3 linked regions of the Styela clava genome follow. The protein of the gene in region 3 purifies or fractionates together with the protein of the main gene of each other region. This does not show direct contact. Links are inferred from orthologs where the notes say so. Each region holds a gene or a part of one and is shown on either strand. Other genes may lie near its edges.

What was found. Proteins that work in one complex are often made in the same cells at the same time.
Region 1: the proteins of U3 small nucleolar RNA-associated protein 4 homolog (region 3) and U3 small nucleolar RNA-associated protein 15 homolog purify together in Homo sapiens (co-immunoprecipitation; 4 studies listed by BioGRID and IntAct, counting the BioPlex papers as one, with this or other methods). This does not show direct contact. The link is inferred for Styela clava from reciprocal best matches to the Homo sapiens genes UTP4 and UTP15.
Region 2: the proteins of U3 small nucleolar RNA-associated protein 4 homolog (region 3) and WD repeat-containing protein 75-like purify together in Homo sapiens (co-immunoprecipitation; 3 studies listed by BioGRID and IntAct, counting the BioPlex papers as one, with this or other methods). This does not show direct contact. The link is inferred for Styela clava from reciprocal best matches to the Homo sapiens genes UTP4 and WDR75.

The regions. Positions count from the first base shown.
Region 1 is NC_135256.1:19,821,301-19,828,427, reverse strand, and holds the start of U3 small nucleolar RNA-associated protein 15 homolog, read right to left. Parts: upstream 3,040-7,127; 5' UTR 2,934-3,039; coding exon 2,820-2,933; intron 2,628-2,819; coding exon 2,535-2,627; intron 1,470-2,534; coding exon 1,285-1,469; intron 659-1,284; coding exon 535-658; intron 172-534; coding exon 117-171; intron 1-116. Other genes in the region: uncharacterized protein LOC120328857, read left to right, coding at 4,491-4,554, 4,832-4,964, 5,375-5,467, 5,565-5,634, 6,421-6,499, 6,789-6,814, 7,026-7,071. UniProt on the Homo sapiens protein: Ribosome biogenesis factor. Involved in nucleolar processing of pre-18S ribosomal RNA. Required for optimal pre-ribosomal RNA transcription by RNA polymerase I.
Region 2 is NC_135250.1:18,830,734-18,838,082, forward strand, and holds the start of WD repeat-containing protein 75-like, read right to left. Parts: upstream 3,040-7,349; 5' UTR 2,074-3,039; coding exon 1-2,073. UniProt on the Homo sapiens protein: Ribosome biogenesis factor. Part of the small subunit (SSU) processome, first precursor of the small eukaryotic ribosomal subunit.
Region 3 is NC_135254.1:14,336,454-14,344,442, reverse strand, and holds U3 small nucleolar RNA-associated protein 4 homolog, read left to right. Parts: upstream 1-4,885; 5' UTR 4,886-4,917; coding exon 4,918-7,077; 3' UTR 7,078-7,734; downstream 7,735-7,989. Other genes in the region: mitochondrial import inner membrane translocase subunit Tim9-like, read right to left, coding at 1-123; alpha-1,3-mannosyl-glycoprotein 2-beta-N-acetylglucosaminyltransferase-like, read left to right, coding at 7,765-7,929. UniProt on the Homo sapiens protein: Ribosome biogenesis factor. Involved in nucleolar processing of pre-18S ribosomal RNA. Part of the small subunit (SSU) processome, first precursor of the small eukaryotic ribosomal subunit.

The DNA.
Region 1 (7,127 bases), on a different chromosome or scaffold from region 3:
TACAGTATACTAAATATTGCATAAACATGCCAAGCTTTTAATCTAGGAAAAATGAATTATAACAATAGATGCTTTACTATATTCCTAGTGAAAAATTGAAAAATATTGAAACATACCTGTTGCAATAATATCTGCGCTCGATCTACAAATGGCTCCGGTACGAATATAGTCCTAATGAGAAAATATGAGAAAATTGAGTAAAAGAAAATATATTTAGTATCAATGCTAGTTTTATCAACCATTCATTTCCGATGGTCCTGAGCGACTCTCAACCTCACAAAAAATGTCGTATCTTTTTGTTGAAACGGGTGACAAACCTACAGCTTGTTTTAGCCGCTTTCCATGAATTGCTGCACGAGACACATAAAGCATTTCACTCTTATAGTACACCGTGGATAAAAAAGAATTTCAAAAAAAACTTTTTAACGATGAGCGAAAAAAAGGTTAAAACCTATTAAAAACTGATTGAAAATGTGATTTCAAAAACTTTCAATGTTTGTACATGAAATATAGAGCAAAAATACCAATAACTACCTCGTGTTCTGAGAATTTGTTGATTGATTTTTCTGTTGCAACATCCCACACTCTTACTGTTTTGTCGTCACCCCCAGTAAAAACATGAGTAAGGTTGTTGCAAAATTTGGAAACATGAACTGGCCTGTAAAATAGATTAAAGAAGAGGTTCATAAAATTTCAAACTCATTGGATTTTTACTATAGTTTAGGTTATACATGTTGTAACAGTATATTTATAATTACCAATATTAGGGCTGCCTTCAAGTAACTAAATGCACATCTTAATCTAAACACAAGAACAGATAACAAAATCAGATAGTTGCTGAATATAGCCAAACTTGATCGAACCACCGTCTAATACTTTTTACAGCTAGTAACTAATGCAGTGAGACAAATGCAATCTATTATCGCATGACAATATACACTAATTACAATTTATAACACATAGAACAAAAATGAAATAATGATTAAATACAAATAAAGGTGACCAAAGTGAAGCATACTGCAACAGGAATAACTAAAACTTAAATTTCATAACAGAACAACGCATGATGCATTGGGAAAAAAGCTGACTTAATATTAAAATCAAACTGCACCAAGGAAGAGTTTCATTACAAATGTACATTTAATCATTGCAATACACCAGCTTGATTTTGAGCACAAAAAATATGATAATGTGGCTAAATCTGTGATATACTCATTCGTACTATAGTCATACTTTCTCAATTTTAGTTTTGGCAGCTTTAATTTATATTCAATTTTATCTAACCTTGTGTGGCCTTTAAAAATTCTCAAAGGAACACGTCCTTCTGTATCAAATAATCTTGCATTAGAATCTTCGTTTCCTGCAATTATTAATTTTCCATCCCTGCGATAACTTGCACCATATACAGTGTTATGGAACCTTGAGAAGGTTTTGATTCTTTCACTTGTTTCATGATGATATACTTGAATCTATAATAGGAAATATGCACATGTAAATCAAACCCCCAATTAAGCTACTTGGGATGTAGCAGAGATGTCCAAAACAAATCTCACATTTAAATCTATTTGAAATTAATTATATTTAATTTTATGTAATTTAGGTTTTGGGAATAATTTAAAATAGTTTTATTTGAAAATATTATCAGTTTAGGCCATTGAAGTTTCCATATTCATTTAATTTCAAATTCAATGAATATCTGTTGACTTCTATGTTATTCTTTGTAGATTATGAACGGTTCCAGTCAAAATGTTATTGATTGATTGTCTTCAAAAATAATATTGCATTATGATTTTTGTTTCATTTGTATCTGAAATGAGGGCGTCTGGCACGAAGGCAGATGTATCGGATCGCGTCAAACTTGTCGCGGAAACAATTTAAATCGATCGTGACATGCGCCGGTCGTCACATGACCAAAATTGCGTTCTTTTCTTAGGCGCGGCGGTGTGGCTCAACGGGCTAAGCGTTAGGAATACGCTCGCCACCGCACCTCTAATTACTCTGCGTGGGTTCGCAGGTTCGAATCCCATGCAGGGATGGTTATGTGCGAGAGCATTGCTGGACTCCTCGCCGTCGTTGGGTGGTTCATGTAACCGCTGGTCGGTTACGGCTTCCTCCACCACCAAGTCCATGCTTCCGCAAAACAAACAATATAACTAATCCCATACCCGACTTGGAATGGTAACCGGACGAGAGGCCGTGGTTCGCCATATGGATAAGCCGTCTTATCGGCTTTCCTCTCCCCCGGGATAAATATGTAAATCCTATCCTATCCTTTTGCTAAAAACTCTCGAATGCGAAGATAAAATTTTTTTCCTCCAGTAAATTGGATTGGATCAATTAAACTGATGGAGACGTTTTTAGATTGCACTTCCTTTCACTGTTTTAGTTTATTGCGCAGAACCAGTTGGCATTTCGAGTCGATATGGAGGCCAGACTGTTTTGTAAAGAAGGGGGCTGTAATAATTGATGTCTATTAATATGGAGCTATTCCTGGAATCTGTATGCCCTGCTGTACTGTAATATATAATACTCACACGAGTTGCTGACGAAACAGCAATGTTGTGAGGATGTGTTGGTTGAATGTCAATGTGTGTAACTGCTCCAAATTCCTTTACTGTGACAGGAAACTGGAATTAAATGCAAAAAATAAGATCTACAGAACTAGTTATAAATCAAAAAATTAGTTCAAAAAAATATTCATAACGTTTTTTGGCAACAGACGAATTTGAAATAAAAAACTAATTACATTTCAGTATTCAATTTAGTTGTTCTGTTTTTACTGTTTTAGTTACTGCTGTACTGAGTTATGTCTAACTTACCTGCAATCCTTTCCAGTAATACCCGTCTTCAGTAAGAAGCTTCCTTTCATGAACGTTAGACACGGGATCCAACCGTTTAAACCTGCTTGATGTGTTCAGAACTTTTTGCGACATGATTCTATAACGTTACGGTATGTAACATAAAATTCGTCATAAAATGACATAAAATGATTCCGAGCACCCAACAAAACGTGTGCAAGGGACTTCCCCATAAGACCGGTCAAAGGTCATATTGCGAGTACGGTACGTATTCGTTGTGGAAGAGAGAAAAACCCATACACACGGAAGAACCAGAAATTCTGCGTAGAAAACTTTTAGGCAACATTAAAACCACACGCATACACATTTGACATTGATTGATTTGAGCACGCTTATGTGCACCGACTTTTTGTCAAAAATGGACCATATCGATGATTTGTATACTAGCATTATTTGTTGTTTCGGAGCTGATGTTACAGATTCGCTTAGAACATTGGTTGAGGGTTGGGGATATTTTTCTCCGGGTCGCCGAAAACCCCGACCACGAGACGCATGTTTGAATTCCGTTGAAGATGATAATATGTCAGAGAACCAATCAATCAGGACCAACGACTAACGATCAAGACCCACCATTACAGGGTGATCCACATAGCTTCCGGAGCGCTGACTAGAAGAAAAAAAAGGACGAGCTCACGCATCTCATTCATTGCCAAGTTTACGAAACGGGGTCACATTACAAACACCCAAATAAATGTATGATATTATTTGATATTTCACGTTATATCAATCATATATATTGCTCTTTTTTAGTAAAACAAAAATGGCATAAATCTACCATTACAAAAATAACTAATCCGAGAAAATCAAAAATATATAGGCTAAATTTTTATGTAGGCTATTATTGGACACACACGTTTTCATGTTATAACATCAATCGCAATTTTACTGATAGCGGCGATCGATGAGCTTTCAAAAACCTCCCTGACAATTAAAGTTTACGAACTTTGTCGTGATGCAGAATTGCCTGGGGGTATGTTTTGACAGACAGATTTTTGCTATAGTAATACCAGTCGTTGATTTAAATACCAAGCATGCTCCTGCTGTTTGTCTAGTTTGAGATTTTTAGGCAGCAGAAAATATATTCTAAATAGTAAATACCCTAAATCATATTAGAAGTTAGATTATAAAATGCCATCTGCTTGGTTAAATGTAGACAGAATATTGGCGTTGAAATGATAATATACGGGCTTGAAAGAACTAGGCTACATGTCATATATATTTAATTATTTGGTGTCAGTACTTCTGCTCAAAAAACTAACTTAGGACCATAGGTATGGAAATGCAAAGAAATGATCAACCTGAACAAGGAAGGAATGTACCTCTCGCAAAAGCTTTTTCGATAAAGTCCCATTTGAGTAGAAAAGCCATAACATTAATCTCTTCCCTTAAAGACCCAGACACATTTGTGTCCACAAATTATAGAATGTAAACGCTTAAGACGTAGCCTATACCCAAAATTTGTTTCTGGAGTATAGTTTTTGGAGGGGAGTATATAATATACATTCAAAGCAGATAGTTAGCCTGCAACGTAATATAAAAACCAAATAACAAAGAAGTAATACCGAATCACCAGACCCGGCACTTACCAATTTAAATTTGATTTGCATAATATTAGCGCTAAATCTTAAATATATGGATAGTTCGAATAAATCGTCACAAAAGGGGTTGCAAAGCAAAAAGTCAGATAAAGAAAAGGGTGAGTAACTGAATGTTTATTTGCCGTAATTACTTTAGAGTTGTTCCAATTTTTGAAGGCGATTGTAATCTTTATGGTAGCCTACATAAATGAAAACAATTTTCTTATTCTCGCGTTGAGCACGGAATGAAATTATTGCGAAGAGAAAATAACAATTTATCAGTTATACGAAAATCCATACCATAACTCTGTTCAATATAAATGCTGTTTTTTTTATTGATTTTGCAATGGCCAAACCATTACCATGCATGATCATGTCCCATATTTATTTCATTAGAAAAAACTCCAGCAGTTGGATGTGAAGTTGACTTCATCGCTGACGGAGTAAACGAAAAACCACAGAAAAACACTAAGTCAAAGAAAATAAAAACTAAATCATCAATGAAATGGTCATCGGGAAACAAAGACAAGTGAGTGAATTGCATCTGTGATTGACTAATAAATTAATTTACAACAACAAAACTTATCTTACACCAAACCCCCGAACATTAGTTTGTTTTAATCTATTCTACAATTGTTTGCGATTGCGGCATGATTATTGAATTGTAGGGCCCTGTGTATCACAATAATGTGTGACGAAAATATTTATTTAAATATTTGTGGGTGTTGCGCGCAAGTGATTACCGCGCTTGTCCTAATTATGTTGTTGTTGCAGTTTTTTGATATGCCGCAGCGGAAAAATTGGTTTCGAATGGTTTCCAAAGTCGATTGTTCAAACGAGGTTTTTTATCAGGACTCCACATAAACGAATAGCACCGGTATATTATTTGAATATATAACCGTTCTCATGAGCTCACGTGATATTGTTTTTTTCACACAGAAAAAAATCTGGAAGAAGTAAAAGCACCACATCTAATGACTCGAAAGTAGAAACAGCCACGGAGCTCTGGAAATCAATTCTATTATGCACCGAGTAATATTATGCTATATATATTGATACATTTTTTTTGTAATATATATATCATTAATTGAGGTAAACTCACGTGTATATATTTATTCATATTTTTCAGTGAGTACATCGACCAAAAAAATGACGCAATGACCCAATTGAAGAAAGATGGCAGTATGACGCCAAAACACGTGAGATATCTTCTTTCTAATATTACAGATTGCCCGTGTATGCATACTTCTTCTAATATGAAGATATATATGTAAAACATATTTATCTCGGAGAAGACGGAAAATAAAATATATATTTGCTAATACGCATAGCGAACGATGGCCTCTTTTTCGGGTGAGATAGAGATAGGAAGAATTTGTAGAACTTTTGCACAAAAACCTGATTCTAAGCATAATGCTTGTAGGTGAATTAGCTTTTATAATAAGTTGAGATATGAAAATGTTTACTGTGGACTTTCAAAATCTGATTCATCTTGATAATTTGCGCTTTGGATTTTCTCGTTATAAACACCAACACCCTTGAATACCAGCACGGATGTTGGATTTGTCAAATAGTTAAAATGTGAATTCAATTCTACACATTCCTAGTTATAGTGGAGTAAGATTGTGATGACGAGGATCACAGAAATTCTCGCTTATTATTATCGCTCAGCGATTCAAACTTCTGTCTCTCAGGCAGAGTAAATGTCCTGAGCAGTCGTGAGTGTGATGCTGAGGCCTGGGGCTCAATTCAATAATCCAACGGTACAACCAAAATTTAGTATTATAATTATAAAGTGAGATTGTAACAAACTGCCGACTGAAGCCAAATCAAAGCCACTTTAAACACAAATTAACTTAGTTATTATAAAGTAGAATGAAATTATAATTATTATTGACTATTCGTGAATAATATATATATATATATTCTATAATTCCATAACCGTAATAATTTGCTATACCAATTAGTATTGTTAATTTTTACAGATAGAAGAAATACGAAAACTCGAGATTCTGATTAGAAGTATTAAATTTTACAAAGATTTCTTATCGGCCGCTACACAAAGTAAGTCAAACATATCAATGGTGGTTACTAATTAACATTATTCGGGGATAATCTTGAAAGATCATGTATATGAACTTGAAATATACACAAATTCAACGCAGACTTGAATGATCTCCCGATAGAAAAAAATTAAATGTTCAAAAATTCGTTTTTGATTTTCAGACTCAAATACTTTTCAATTTGCTTATTTTAAAATATATTGAAACTATTTTGCACATGCCAAGTTAATTGTAACACCAATACATTCACTAAACATAACCTGACAAATATTATTTTTGTTTATTTGAAGATATCGGTACAGAAGACGACGTGTATGTAAGTACCGATTAAATTGAAATTTTAAGCATGTTGTATTAATTCATGTCTTTACTAACATATTCTTAAATCAAAATATATTTTGCGTTCATTTGGTAAGTTATATTTGCCCTGTGTTTTTTTATGAGGATTATTATAGTAAAACAATTCACTTCCTTCATATGAATTATCTTTGACAATATTTCTAATTTTGAATTCATCTTGCTCCAAGGTAGAAGATTCGCCAATGTTTGGTCAACTCAGACTGGGAATTGCAGGTTTGAGATTTAACGTTTTTTCCTGAAATATTTTTACTCCTCATTTTATCGTATAT
Region 2 (7,349 bases), on a different chromosome or scaffold from region 3:
TGACATTTTATCATCAACAAGGAATATCCGAGAGTTTTGCATCCAAGATATATTTTCACTGCTTTGTAGCCAAGATTTTCTCGTTTCATTCCCACTTGGTACATAAGATGCACTAACAATTTGGTTTTTACACAAATTTTTATGTCTATATATTGGCAATGGACTTGTTGGTTGAAATACAAATAGGTCATTTGAGTCTGTGAGAGCAGCTATAAAACTGGACAAATGATCATTGATGAGGTGCTTTACCTGTATGTTCACAGACCATAAGATTCCTCCACTTAATAAATCGCAAGCATGCATGGCATCATGCAAGACCACCATTAAAATATGTTGAGAGGAATGACTTCCAAAATTTAGGTGCTTGATATTTTCACCTTTACCAAATGACAACAAGATAGTCAATTCTTGTAATAGATCAGGATCACTGAGGCAAACTTTACTGCCAAAAGCTGTTGCACAAAGAGAGCCATCTTGTGAAAATGCACCATCATACAGAGGTTGATTCCTATAAGAAGCAGCAGTAACACAACACCAAAAGAATTGTTCATCACTAGAACCATGTTTCACTGTCCATATTTTAGCCATTCCATCTATGCTGGTTGTTAGAAGTGCTGGGTGGATTTCACCAGCATCTGAATGTGGACGAAATGTAATTTTTGTTACTGTGGATTTATGGGGATCGTTTACAACTGTATTCAGTTTCCACCATTGTTCAATTTCATCAAACACCCAAAACTTCAATTTTTGTTCTCTAGAATATGTGACATCTGGTATGTCTTCTATTGTGGCCATCCAAGTAAGCGCACTGGGATCATTTTTCTCAAAACCTTTTATAATTTTTTGACACGTAAACGCAACATTAGTAATAGTAGTCTGTGGTATATGTGATCCCATCTCAGAAGCAATATAATTTTGATGGACAATGTCTAAGTTATAAAGTTGGGTATCGGAGTATGGATGATAGAACAGCAAATGACCAGGCTTGCCATTGGTAACACAAGAGTTCGTCTTCCAGTCATATTCCAGAAATCGATGAGTGGTATTTTTGGATTCCATAACAGCAGTAAAACCTTCTAATGAATGTTTTATGGAGAAATAATTTGTTATAAGCAGTAATGAGTTGTCAATATGAGTTGTGGCAAACAGTGCTCCATTTCTTGAGACAGCAATATGTCGAGCAGGTGTACCCAGTCTGGGGAAGAAATCTTTTTTACTACCATATCCTTGATATATCCATTGTACCAAGACACTTTCCTTCCCAACTGATAATAAACTAGCACCACCTGGAGTAAAATAAACATCTTGGACTTCCTTGCTATGCCAATGTTGGGATGAAACTACCAAACCAGATTTGGTATGCTTCTTGTTAGTAGATTTTTTATTCCATTGATGCAAATTGTGCCAGAATTTGATAATTCCACTAGATTGGCCAGTGACACAAGCATTGTCTGTTGGATGACAAGCAATGCATGTTATTTCTCCACCTTTCTGGTCACCATGCTCAAGAATTGCACCATTTGGGTTGTTGATATCAAGGACACAAAGTTTTTTCTTTCTACAAAATACGATAATATTACCAGGAGACAAGAATGCAACTGTCCTGGAGACCTTTAAACTGACATTTGTGGCCAGAATAACCATTTCAAGACTTTCCTCTGACTTATTGGCATTTATTGCTTCAAGTGACACTTTAGATATAACTGAATTATCATTTTTCTTTGTAACAACAAGCACGTCTTGAATATTTTCGTGGGAATAAATTCCAAACAATGGTAATTCTGCTCTACATGTTCTTAGTAATACACCATCTTCATAATCCCATATCCTAATTGTTCGATCCAGAGAACTGGACAGAATTTGAAGGCTAATTTTTGGATGATGGCAAATTCCAGTTACTTCATCATCATGACCAATCAATCTTTGCGTGTTCTCGCCAGTTTCTGCTGAAAAAACTTTGATTTCTGATGCACAAGCACAAAATAAAAATCTTGAATCCAATGAAAACAAAGGCGGATGTTGAGTAAGGCTGTCACCCCCACTTCTTATGACATTTAATCGGGGAATCTTCATTAGAAATTTTGTGCTTATCGATTTTTTATGTATTCTAATTTCTATCAAAAAAGGCAAAAATCAATAAATGAGTATCAAGAATTGTTGGGAGGTATTTGGGGATAAAATAATGTGGCCCAACGATAAACATTATACAATTACTATAGTATGGATGTTTTAACGAGGTCATCCGTTTTATTATTTTTGTAAATCTATTAATGACAAATTAAATTTACTATAGACTACATCCAACAAGTTCATATTGGCCATTTATAATTTCATTGCAGTTTATTGTATAGCAAAAAGTGATATATATAACTGGGCAAATTTCTGTAAAAAAGAAAATTTTAATTTGTTTAAAGATATCCCAGGACACATTCAATTTTTAAAATATACATATAATAATAAATACAATAGAATCTGTTATATTCAAAGATATCCTTAAAAGAATAATGCATTAGACTAGACTTTGTTGATGTTACTGCTGTTCCAAACCATGCATACTATTTCATTCAAAGTGTATTAAACAGTTTTTCTACTCACTCTATATGAGTGACATCTTGCATACAATTTTGTTCAAAAAATGTTCTGAAGCAAATAAAACATTGATATATATAGTAGAATATACTATTTTAGTTATCGCTATAGCTTAATTGATTCAAAATCAGGCAATTTCGACAAGTGAACATTACTCTGAAGCACAATAAAGTGCTATTCAATGTCACTGTACAGCTGTAACAAGTTATTCAAAATTGTGTGATGCCCTTTATTATACTATTATTGTTACTTTTTATCATAATGAAGAAATCCAAAAGGTTCTAAAATGAGTCTAATTGGAATTATTGCTTTCCACACCCTTCACTTATTAAAATATATTAATGATGAATGTCTATATCAGCTATATAGCATATTTAGCGAAATATAGTAATATTATCAGTAGTCAACATCACAGTGCTATGTTAGTCCAGAATATCATTTAAGCTAAAATCATAATTTTCCATTCTTTTTAGCATTTTCAAATTCTTTTTTCAACTCATTTCTGAAGGTTCCCATAAACTTGTTATCTGATTTTCTGCTTTTCGAACCTTCAGAGATGGATTTCTTTGTTGTTTCTTCCAGAATGGAAGAAGTGCCTTTTCCTTTGGATAGAAGTGATTGATAAAACGCAACAAAAATTTGAGCACTCCTGCGTAAGATTCTTGTTTCTGAAAGTCGTTCTACAAGTTGTGTTTGATGTATAAAAAGTTCTGCCAGTCGCCTCCACATGTTTTTATTGAAAATTTTTATTAAAATTTAAATATTCCAGTATTCTGCAGGTACTGAGATAATGAAATTATTAGGTGATTAGTAATTGATGAAAGATTATTAGGTCTATAGCCTGCAACCTATTCTGATTGCCCCATTCCAGCCACCAACAGGCAGACAGTCATTGCCACCAAAAGACAGACAGGGAGGTCAGTACCTTAAGTACTGAGGTGTTACACTTAAATTATATGTTAAACTTAAATACAGAAACGGCAAATTCAGAAGATAAGATTTAGGATGAGATTTTATTTCGATTCATTCGCAAAAAACAAAATAAACATATATATACACAAAAAATTAAGGCGAAGAATCTGGAAAGTGAAAAAAACCTAATAAAATAAGTTTAAAACATATTAAACGCGTTCACTCACCGAAGAAGAAAGATTATGTGCGAGAGGATTGCTGGACTCTTCGCCGCCGTAGGATGGTTCATGTAACCTCTGGTCGGTTACTGCTTCCTCCACCATCAAGTCCATGCTTCCAAAAACAAATAACTGGCTAACTAATCCCATACCCGACCTGGATTGAGTGGAAGTGGTGACTCCTCTCTACGGCCCATCAAGTTGTGTAAAGGGAATATTCACTTGGCTAACACGACAGTCCCCGAACTCATAATACAGTAATAGAACTATAATGTGAAAAATCTGAACAAAATTTTGTCCTAACTCTAGCCTGGTACACATACTACAGGAGCATCTTTTTCTGTAGCTTGGTATTTTGCTTCTTTTTTATATAAAGGCTTATAGTAAGAAAAAAATTTGGTGGCATCCGCGGCCCATATTTTGATGGGATGCGGCCCATATCTTGATGGGCCACGGCCCATGTGGCCCAATTCGACGGGCCATGGGCCGTAAAGGAGTCACTACCCCTGTAGCCTGGACTGGTACGGTAACCGGATGAGAGGCCGTGGTTCGCCATATGATTAAGCCGTCTTATAGGCTTTCCATTCCCCCTGGATAAATATGTAAATCCTATCCTATCTTCGGCTCGAAGTAGCCACGTCCGCACGCGACGGCGGTCGGTTCCGACTGTAGGTCGTAGGATGCCTACATTAACCGATTCTGGCACAATTTACCACAATATCCTAGGCCTAGCTGTAGGTAGTACGGTACACGGCTGTTAATTAAACCAATAAACGGTATTGTACCATAGATTATACACCTCCATATATAGCACACACGTGGTGGCCACAGCCCAAAGGCTGGATATCAAATATTTGCGGCTGAGTAACCCGGAATTCAGCACGCCGCCAAAGGAGCCCATTTGTGATTATTTGTCATTCTGGTGTGGGAAATTTACCAACTATCGTAGTACTGTATATTTTACTCGTATATGCTAGCTCAGTGTTTTTCAACCGGGGTGCCGCGGCACACCGGTGTACCGTAAGTTATTGTCAGGGGTGCCGTGGGAAATTCCCAAATTGTGTGTCTATGCGGTGTAGCGACCGACAGAGTAAGCATGTAGTACGGTAGCAGCATCAGGTGGCGATTTGCTTTTTTTGTCTTTGTTTTTATTAGATTACTATTCAGGATGTCCTATTCAACATCTTTCTTCAATGTTAAAAATCTTATATTAACAATATAACACTTATATATATTGTGAATATTAGGCCTTTTCTTCATATTTTCAAATGTGTGTGCCGCGGGATCTTCTCACTGAAAAAAGTGTGCCTTGGCTCGAAAAAGGTTGAAAAACACTGTGCTAGCTATTCCGCAGCGTCGCAAAATAATGCATGCATGCTCCGCATGTTTACTTGCTTTCATCTGTTTCTAATTGAGCAATGCCCCAATAGCTGCATCGACGAGTTCAACTATGATGGACAGTTAGCGTGGCTTCATATCACACCTAAAAGCAGCAAATTCAAGAAGGTTAAAGTTGCATTGTGTAATTCGATGGCAACATTTGGTGGTCACATGGCCGGATTTATCATTAGGCAATGGTAGGCTAAACATTAAGAGCCTCGAATCTTAGGGGCATCGACATTCAATTTTGAACTATTATTGGACACGAAATGTACATATGGATCGTTCATTATTATTATGCTGTTATGCTCTTTTTCTTCATTTTCTGGTATTTCTCTTGTTATAGGTGGGTTATCACGGAATTTTTTTTTTTTTTTGGGGTGAATTTAATTCTATATATTTCTCCAGAATTTTTGACGCTTACTATTTATTTACGTAAAAGTCGACTTAGTTTACTTCTTATGAATTAAAAAAAAAACGCTCCAACGAAAATCGACCGCAGTTCCGAAACGAGTGCCCCGGCCCATGGGTCGTAGAGGAGTCGCCACCCCTGTAGTCCGAAACGGTGTGTGATGACGTAGACAAACACAAATGCATAGGAAGCTCTTACTGTAAAAGGGGATCCAGCAAGGGTGTTTTATGTAATGAACGCACCGGTACTGCCCGCCGACAATAGGCCTTGAAGAACTGTTCCTCTAGTAAGTTTTTACCACTCTTTTTGGCTGTTTGGTAAATTTACCCCAATAGTAGAATTCCAGTAGCCTAAAGGTTTAGTTTTTTATTCATTTCACAGTATTATGCAACAATACACTGTTGCATGTTGAACATTAATAATCTTTCTGGTGATATTATCCTGAACTCGTTTATATCAATTTTAATTGCATAGGCCTACTTTATGTTTTCCATTTCACACGGCTATCAACAACACAGTATAGCTGTCATTAAAGATACACTTTGAGCTGATCATTTGTTGAACGAGTATGACTAGAGAGGAGATGAGATTTCCAGTTCAATGCTGTGTAATTTCCAGAATAAAAGAATCATTTGGCTCCATCCAGAAATAAATTTGGTTCTTGCATATCAATGGAAATATTTATACAGAGGCTTATTTGGTATGAAATAATTTATAAAGAAAGCCCTTAAGGTCGGTGCAATATTTATAACACAAGGGGTCAGTTAATGGAGATTCGTGAGAAAACATTTTTTGACATGAATGAACTACATATGGTGAAAACTTATGTTTGCTTGCTGAAATTTCATAGACCTGAAAATGGTAAAAATAAATAAAAACATGATTTGATAAACTGCGTCAGGTATTGTTGTTTCGGGCCGTGGGCAGGAGTTTGCATAGACTTAAACATAATTTTAAGGCTGAAAGATCTTTCAAATCAGAGGTTTTCTTCTTGTTTCATGCTCTGGGGCAGACCCATCACTGTGAATTCTGCAGTAACCACAAACCGCTAGTGTTTGAAAGTACATATATGCTAATTATAATATATTCTATATATATCACCAATTTAACAAAAAATATGGTTACAGAATCAGAATATACCCACATTATTTTAATAATCTGGATAATTTGAGAAACATAAAATAGCAGCAAACAGTCCGGCACAGAGACAGAGTACAGCTTGACCTCGATTAGTAAAGTTTACTGTAATTTCTAATAATGCAACGATATTATTTGAAGATATTGGTATGTATTTAAACCACTGCAGCGTTTGCCCGATGCACCCCAATGGAACTGGCATACGGTCAGCGCCGGATTAACCATTAAACAATATAAGCACGTGCTTAGGGCACCACAGAAATTTTAGAGCTGAATTTTATATAGTTTATCGGTATTTATTAAAATGTTACGAGTTCACCAGGAGAGTCAAACTTCAAAATGTTCGCTTATTTTTTGTCTTCACGTATCATATTAACCTTCTTTACTGAAAAGAAACACTGAAACTTATTTATTGGACACGAAATGGGCCTATGAGTCGTTTCCTTAAATTGTTGTTGTTGTTTTTTTCTTTCTAGTATCCACCTTGTTGCTGCATTTTTATTTTCAAAATTTTTTTATTCTCTTCAACAATTGGACCAATGAACTATTTACACTATGTGGCGGTTCCACGATCGCATTTCAACGATATATTGGTCAGCAAAGTCGGGAGTTTCTTGATAAGGTAGACCAGGGTGGTCCAAACTCTGTCATGCTGATACATTCCGTGCGGCTCACAGAACAATTTTAGCGTATATTTGTAT
Region 3 (7,989 bases):
AAAATCATTGACACAGTCCGCAAAACATTGTTCAGTTATTTTGTTGTATGTGTTTAAAAATTCCTTAAGTTGTTTCATTTGATCTGGTCCAACCAGTTGAGACATGCCCTGAACCCCAGCCATTGTTTCGTTTACTCTAATGCACTGCACTACAGTTGCACCAATACATAAATCTGAGTAAGAAAATAAAAATAGGGGTTAGGCGGATAAGCCGTATAGCTGTATAGTGGGGCAATGGCTGTAACAAACAAAACAAATATGCTCGGAAAACTAGAGAACAAAGTTTATAATACGCAATGCACATGCTCGTTCACCAAAAGTAACACAAATTATATATTTATAAATAGTAAAAAGAAACTCAATGAGCAGCAGTAAAAGCCTCCTGAGGCGTTTCATGTAAAAAACGTGAGTTACAAATACAAAAATTGACAATGAAGTTGATGGTGTGTCGACACAAACAGCCAAATCAACGTAACGTATGGTAATTTGGGCAATAGGCCTAATTACATAAAATACCCCTGGCCTGGTGCATGTATATGACGGGTAACTTATATTACATAAATTTACCATGTATATCTGTACCTTGTCTGCAGCATGCGGTTTTTGTAGATGCAAATTATTATTTTTTTTTTGCCAAATAAGTTCTAATGCCAAACGGAATTTTCGTATCATTATTTTGGAATCGAATAATTTTATTTTAAATACGTGGATTAACTCATTTTTGGACATATATGGTTTATATTACCGTAAATTACTGACATCATGGTAATGGTATGAATTTCATATTTATTTGGATTTTTACTCTACTATTGATATATATATTGCGGGAAATGGGATTTAAATAGAGAAAACAAAAAACTATGTACCGTATTTAAAATAAAGTGGATGCAAATTAAAATAGCGTCACATACAAAACAAGGACCATACCAACATCCTACTACTACGCACACTGCAACGCTAAGCTACATCATGCTTCTCCACAAGATGAAATTCGCCGCGCTCTGATCTATAGTGCCCCCACATGGCTGCACGCCAAGGTCGATATCAGACATCAGCAAGACGCTAGCTAGCTAATATCTCCAAGTGCTGCGCATCTAACATCTAAAAACAAAAGCGGGTTATCGTGATAATCAGTGGTTCTATCTAGTAGTATATATTTACGGTTCTATACACTAGTGTGCCGTGAAAGATCATCAGACTTGCCGCAGAGATTTTCGAATTAACAAAAAAAAATTGAGTTATTTGTTTCAGTGTGTAACAAGACTTTCGAATAACTCAGAATAGTTATCTTAGGATCGGATTTCCATATTTGTTAACTTTGTATGTTTTACATCCTATATGAAGTTTTGTATCCTCGAACTCTGTAATCCGTATTCGTTTGTTTTGATAGCAATGAACCAGCACTGAAGAAATACCAACAAGGAGTCACGAAACGGACATGAGGTAGCATGAAGAAGAATATATGGAATTGATATTCAACTGTCAGCGGATGCTACAAATGCTATTACTATACATTTTACTTAAATAAGAATTAAGATTAAATAAGAATTTGTAATGTAACAAGATATGACAATTCCCATGCGCAACGTTTTTAAATATTCACGTAATGGCATATTGGGGAACGAGAGTCTTGTTACGCCACTGGTTATGGCGATAATTAAATTAAACAATAGTATATACGGATATGATCATCATATATATATATGAATACTGTCATTTCACAAAAATGTAAGTATGTCTTTGCCTATGTTGCTCGGACTAGATTTTCAAGATATTATGACACACTATATTGTCCTCAGTTAATGTTGCCGTATCCACTATTTTAGTCATTGTCATAGTTATCACACCGTTACAATCAATTAATTACAATAAATTAAAAGGAAGATGGGGTAATATTCTTGCTCAATGGCGCGGTCCTTTTGTTCATCAAATAAATAAAACCACAAAAAAGAAAAAACTTCTTGTTCTTCAAAAGAATTTCATAAAAAGTGTGATACTATTCTTCTCACATGACAAATATGTTCATATGGATAGAGATTTTATTTCCCAAATAATGTCAACACTTGAAACATTTGAAGCAACAGAAACAAAAAAATAATAATTCAGTAATAATTGGTTATCATTATTTGTGAGGGCCAGTATACAAGACCGGTAAGGTCACCAAGGCTGACACCGATGAAATATATAAATTGAAAAAATTGGATTCTTCTTATAACATAGTACCTCCTTGTTTGTGATAGAGCCTTGTTCGAAGAGAAGTTATTGAACACGCGATTAGAAGATGATAATATTCTTGTCCGACAGCTGTATTCAATTTTATAAGTCCTAAGCTAAATGAAAGATTTTTTTTCTTCACAGGAGGCACAATAGTTGTCTGCATACCAGCGACTGCTCGTTCAGAGCCTGGTACAGATTACTCAAATAAAAATCAAGTCATATATATATACCACGAAAACAGTGTATTAAAATGGGGGAATGAATTGTCAGAATTGTTCCCAATGCGCTGTTCCTTAAATCAAAAAAGTACTCGGCAAAATATATCAGCAGTGTAATTCTACGTCTCATCAAGTTTGGGCGATGTCACAATCAAGCGACAAAACTTGTTTAGAGCTTTGCTACGGGCAAAGGCTACGGGTAAGTCGTGAAGCTCCTTATCAGAAGATGGAATGAAACCGATCTTATACAATAGCCGTAAGCCTATTCAATCTAATAATTCTATATGGAACGATTTTTTATAAATTATCGGCTTTCCTCTTCCCCGGGATAAATGTGTAAATCCTATCCATTACCAATAATAGTAATATGGATGAATGAATTGTTGTTATGGATGAACTTAATAGTGTGTCAGCCTAATGCGACCTCGTTGATAATGCGCCATTCCATGCGTCCTTGCTGTTTGTAAACGCAACCCGCTGTTCCTAATGAGCTGTGCTACACAGCGGACCCGCGATGAAGCAAGTCAGCGCGGCGAGTAAGGAAAAGATTTTCATATTTAGCGTATTCCTAATTTTGCCAGTCTTATTTCCATCGATGAGCTTGCATGTCACTGTGTAACTCAACGACTGTTTGGCAAATCAGCATGGTAAGAGATTGTATTGTCGTATGTCAGTATGTTTCCAGTGAAAATTGAGAGGGATTTTCAACAGTAAAATGAAACCGTAAGTAGTATTGCTGGAAATGAACTATGCGTATTGCCGTGTGTGAAATAGAATCTAAATTTGTCAGTCACGCAAGTTATATATGAATCGTGAATATTTTGATTAGTTTTTGATTTTATTGAAAGAAATATTCCAGTATTCAGCTGGAAGGGAACTAAATAATGCCAGACAGAAAAATTATGAAGAATTATACACATAATATTAATCTATTAATACGTTTTTTTTTAAATTACATATTATACTACTTAATTAATAATTGATTGACTGTATGCTGTTGTGATAATTTCAACACTATCAAATACAGTTCTCTGATTCCAAGAATAGCCCCCACGCCCCCACATTAAAAGACATCAATAATAACAGTGAGTGCAAACCCCTCCCTCCTTTACGAGACAGTGTACTGGTGTAGGCCAGGGGTCGGCAACCTACGGAGTAGTATAATCCGCGACTGGTCACTGAATTATAGTAACAAAACAGCTGTTTTGACGATTATTCTTTGAGTAACAGAATTCATTGTGAGACACGTGTAGACTAAATTATATTATAATCTAACGAGTATAAAATTCACAATTACTCGTTTAACTATAATTTAATTGTAATTAGACAAATGGCAACAAAACGCAGAAATGTTGATGCTAAGCGCAAAGGGTTCCATGGCGCTGAAAATATTCAAATGGAACTTTTTGAGATGCAATGCAAAGAGGAAATAAAATCTATATTCTATTCGAGAGATGTATCACTGCTTGATTTTTACTATAAAAAGTATCATTCGTTCGGTTTTCAACTTTATAGAAATATGTCCGGTGCGCCAATGACTTGCAGCTGCAACCCTTAATTTTGGCCCGCGGGCGACAAAAGGTTGCCGACCCCTGGAGTCGGCCTTCATATGGACTCAAAACGGGAGGCTGGGAGGCGCAGTTCTTACCACTTCAGCACTTCATGACAGCTCCTGCCACGAACGTACCGCGGCGTCTCTTGCCATGGTTTTATCGCACGATTACCGGTATATTTACAAAGTCATGTACAATATTTTAGTTTATCATGCAGAATTATATTTACTTAAACCTAACCCCAAATACATCAAAACTGTATTCATAAGAAAAGCGTTCCAACTTACCCAATATTTATCTCCATAAGGGGCAGCCCTGCTTTTACAGCCGACATGCCGTGGTAACGGCAGCAAAATTGGTGGTATTCGATTTGCTGCCGTAACAACGGCAGCCCGCTATTGGTTTGTGGCAGCTAAAAAGTCAGGGCCGTAGGTTTGGTCATAGCGGCCATGGTTTGGAAATCCCGCCATGGTTTTGCGGCAGCTCTAGACGCCTCAAAATACTTGAAACTGCACTTGCAAAACTGCAATCTGGCACTGCGCAATAAACTAAAAAAAAGCGCAGTCTAAAAACGTCACCATAGGATTCCATAATCTAATTTACAGGAGGAAAAAAATTTTACTGTAGCGTTTTGGTCACTTGACGGCAGACTCATATTGGTATTGATTTAAATTATTACTGAGACAAGCTTAGTGCGATCTGACGCATCTGCCGTTGTGCCAGACGCTCTCGTTTCAGACACAAATAGGTAACCAAATTTTGCGACATCTTAGAATCAGAGAATTGTGCCCCACTGAAATATAGATGGATTGGATATACATGAACGCATAAATTATATGCTTAGTTTATTATTACCGTAGGTATTTTTGTTTATAATTTATAATTCTTATCCCATTCCTTATGTTTCAGTTAGAATTAAGTCTATATAAATGGGTGAATTTGCTGTTCATCGATGCCAGTTGTTCGAGTACACTCCATGCACTATACAATGCATCGCTAGTTATGAATCGTCTGAAGGTACTGCTTCACAAAAATTGTTAGCAGTTGGGAGAGAAAATGGAGCTATCGACCTCATCAGATGTACGAAGACTGGTTTTTATAAGTATATGGTTATTCCAGCATCTTCTACTCGTCATTTAGAAGATATTGCATGGTATAATGGTAGACTATTTTCTGCAGAACTACAAGGAATAATCAGTGAATATGATTTAGTAAAAGGAACTATCAAGCGAACAGAAGATAGTTATGGTGGAGCTGTTTGGTGCCTTGCTGTAGGAAATAAAAAAGGAGTCATTGCAGCTGGCTGTGAAGATGGAAGTTTAAAAATCTACAATTGTGAGAAAAACAGTTTGTCATTTGAAAAATCATTTGATAAGCAAGAGGGGAGGATTCTCTCCTGTGCTTTTCATCCAGACAATGATGTCTTAGTCTCTGGATCTGTGGGTGTTATAAGAATCTGGAGTTACAAAAGCGGTCATGCTATGCAGAGAATAAACTTGGAAAGTTCTAGAAGTAAAAACACGATCGTATGGGCTGTCAAGATTTTAAGTAACAATACGATTGTGAGCGGCGATTCAACTGGTAAAGTAAATTTTTGGAATTGCAAAAATACTACATTACTGAAGTCATTTCAAAATCATCGTGCTGATGTTTTGTCCCTCTGTGTTTCTCATGATGAAAAAGTTGTTTATGCATCTGGTGTTGATTCACGAGTTTTAGCTATTAATTGTTCATCTGCAATGGTGGGCGAAGATGATCCGTCTTCAGCAACAACTGTAGACTCTTGGGTTCTAGGTGCAACCTTGCAAAAACATACTCATGATGTCCGTGCACTCGCAATCGTAGGAAATTATTTAGTATCGGGAGGTGTGGATACTAATATTTTGCTTTGCAATATCAAAAAAGGGGACTTTACTAAAATTAAAAGAATGGTTGATTTTCCCCATAAAAGCGTTGTTCATATAGCTGAAAACCCAAGATTGGTTTTGTTCCAGTATCCAAAACATTTGGATATATGGAGAATTGCAACTCCACGTCGGGTGAATGGTGAAGCTGGAGAAAAAATTGATTTAGAACAGGATCCAGCCATTGTTCTTCAAATAAAAATGCCTGCAAGTCAATTTGATGATATCACATGTTCTGCCATCTCAAAATGCGGCCATTGGGTTGCATATTCATCTCAATCATCATTTAGGCTTTTCAGGCTACAATGGGGAAAAGAAACACCTTCTGAAATATCTCTAAATAAAATTCCTATTATGTGGATTAAATCTGCATTAGCGATTGCATTCACTCCAGCCTCTGAATATTTGATAACTTCAGCATCGAACGGTAAAATATTTGTCATAAAACTAGAACCTGATGGCCACGTTCACGTAGCTCACGTATTCAAAAATGAAACCGATAGTATCCTTAATGTACCCGCTGTGTTATTTAGTGCCACCAATGAACTCTTTGCAGCTGTAGATTTGAATGATAATATCAAAATCTATGACTTAGAAAAACCAGAGATTCGATGCACGTTGCCCAGTCAAGATAGCTCACCTACTGCCATTTCTTTTAAACCATCCTCTACCAAACTTATAGTTGCATACCAGAATCATGCTGTAATAGAATATGATGCTGACATGAAATCATACACAAAATGGTCCAGAGAAGCAAATTCTGTTTCACTCAATTTAATTGAGTTTCCGTGCAAATATACCAAAAGGCCGAAAAAGCTTGGAAAATGGAATACATCTCCGATAATAAATATTTCGTTCAACGCGGATGCTCCTGATATTATCCTTTTGTCTTCTCAAAAGGCTTTATACTTCCTGAATACTTCGTCTGGTATTTTGAAAAAGATCATTTCTCATGAAAAGGAAAGATCAGAAAATGCCGTTGAGCAAAGCAAAGAATATGCAGCTGAACTCAGAAATAGGAGAAAAATGTTGGAAAATCCAGTCAAATGCTGTGACAAGTTTGAACAGTTGTTGCATGCTTCGTTCATTGATGGTGGTTCATCTATTTTTGTTCTTGAAAGACCATGGCATGATATTTTTGATAATTTACCACCTACTCTGTATCAAAAAAAATTTGGAACATAATCTGTGCAAGAATCGTTGTCATCATGCAGTTGACCTGGACAACTTGAAATCTTGGATAAATCTATTAAACGGAATAGATAATAGACTCGAAACTTTAATTTGTGTTGTTAAAAAAATCGTTTTATAGGCCTATAGTAGCATTGACCATTTGTCTTATGCTTACATTTTTATTATTGGACTGGTCACAACTTACAAAGTCTTATCCATTGTTTTGAGATATAAAATTTTTCGATATTGTATTTTGGCCAAAACGCTCTCTATTTCCGTAAAACTTTCAATTGGAAGGTATTAAAATTTGTGATATTTGTTACGAATTTCAATCTGCTTTGAGTATTAAGAGAACTTGAAAAACATCATATAGATTAACGGAATAGAATACTATTTTTGACATTGCATAAATGAAACTGTATTTGATTTATCCTTAACAATTTGAATTTTCATCCGTGGTGCTGTTCAAAAAATCCTATTTGTGATTGATAATATTTGAAATCATCATTTTCTCTTGTGATGTGGCATTATTGGTATGCTCTATATCTAAACTGTTGTGTATTATACCATTATGCAATAGAAATGTCAATGGAGTTCTTTCACTGGTAAATATTTTGAGCTGTATGGTTGGTCATATCAGCACCATCAACTGCGAAATTTTTTTTTAGATCTAGAAAATTACCATACTAAAATAAAATCATGAGGATTGTTTCAATACGAAGTTACCTGGTTTTTGTGTGTTTTGCAATCATATCACTCTGGCTGCTCTTTTACTTTGTTGGAGTGGGACGAGTACAAAATTTATCTCGGGCTGGGCTGTCCGATGTAAAAGAAAAGCTGAAAGTAAAAGAAAAGATTATGAAGGTTTATATTTTTTGTATTACTATTCAAAATTATGTTTTGTCATGGTCAGGATTTTGTTTT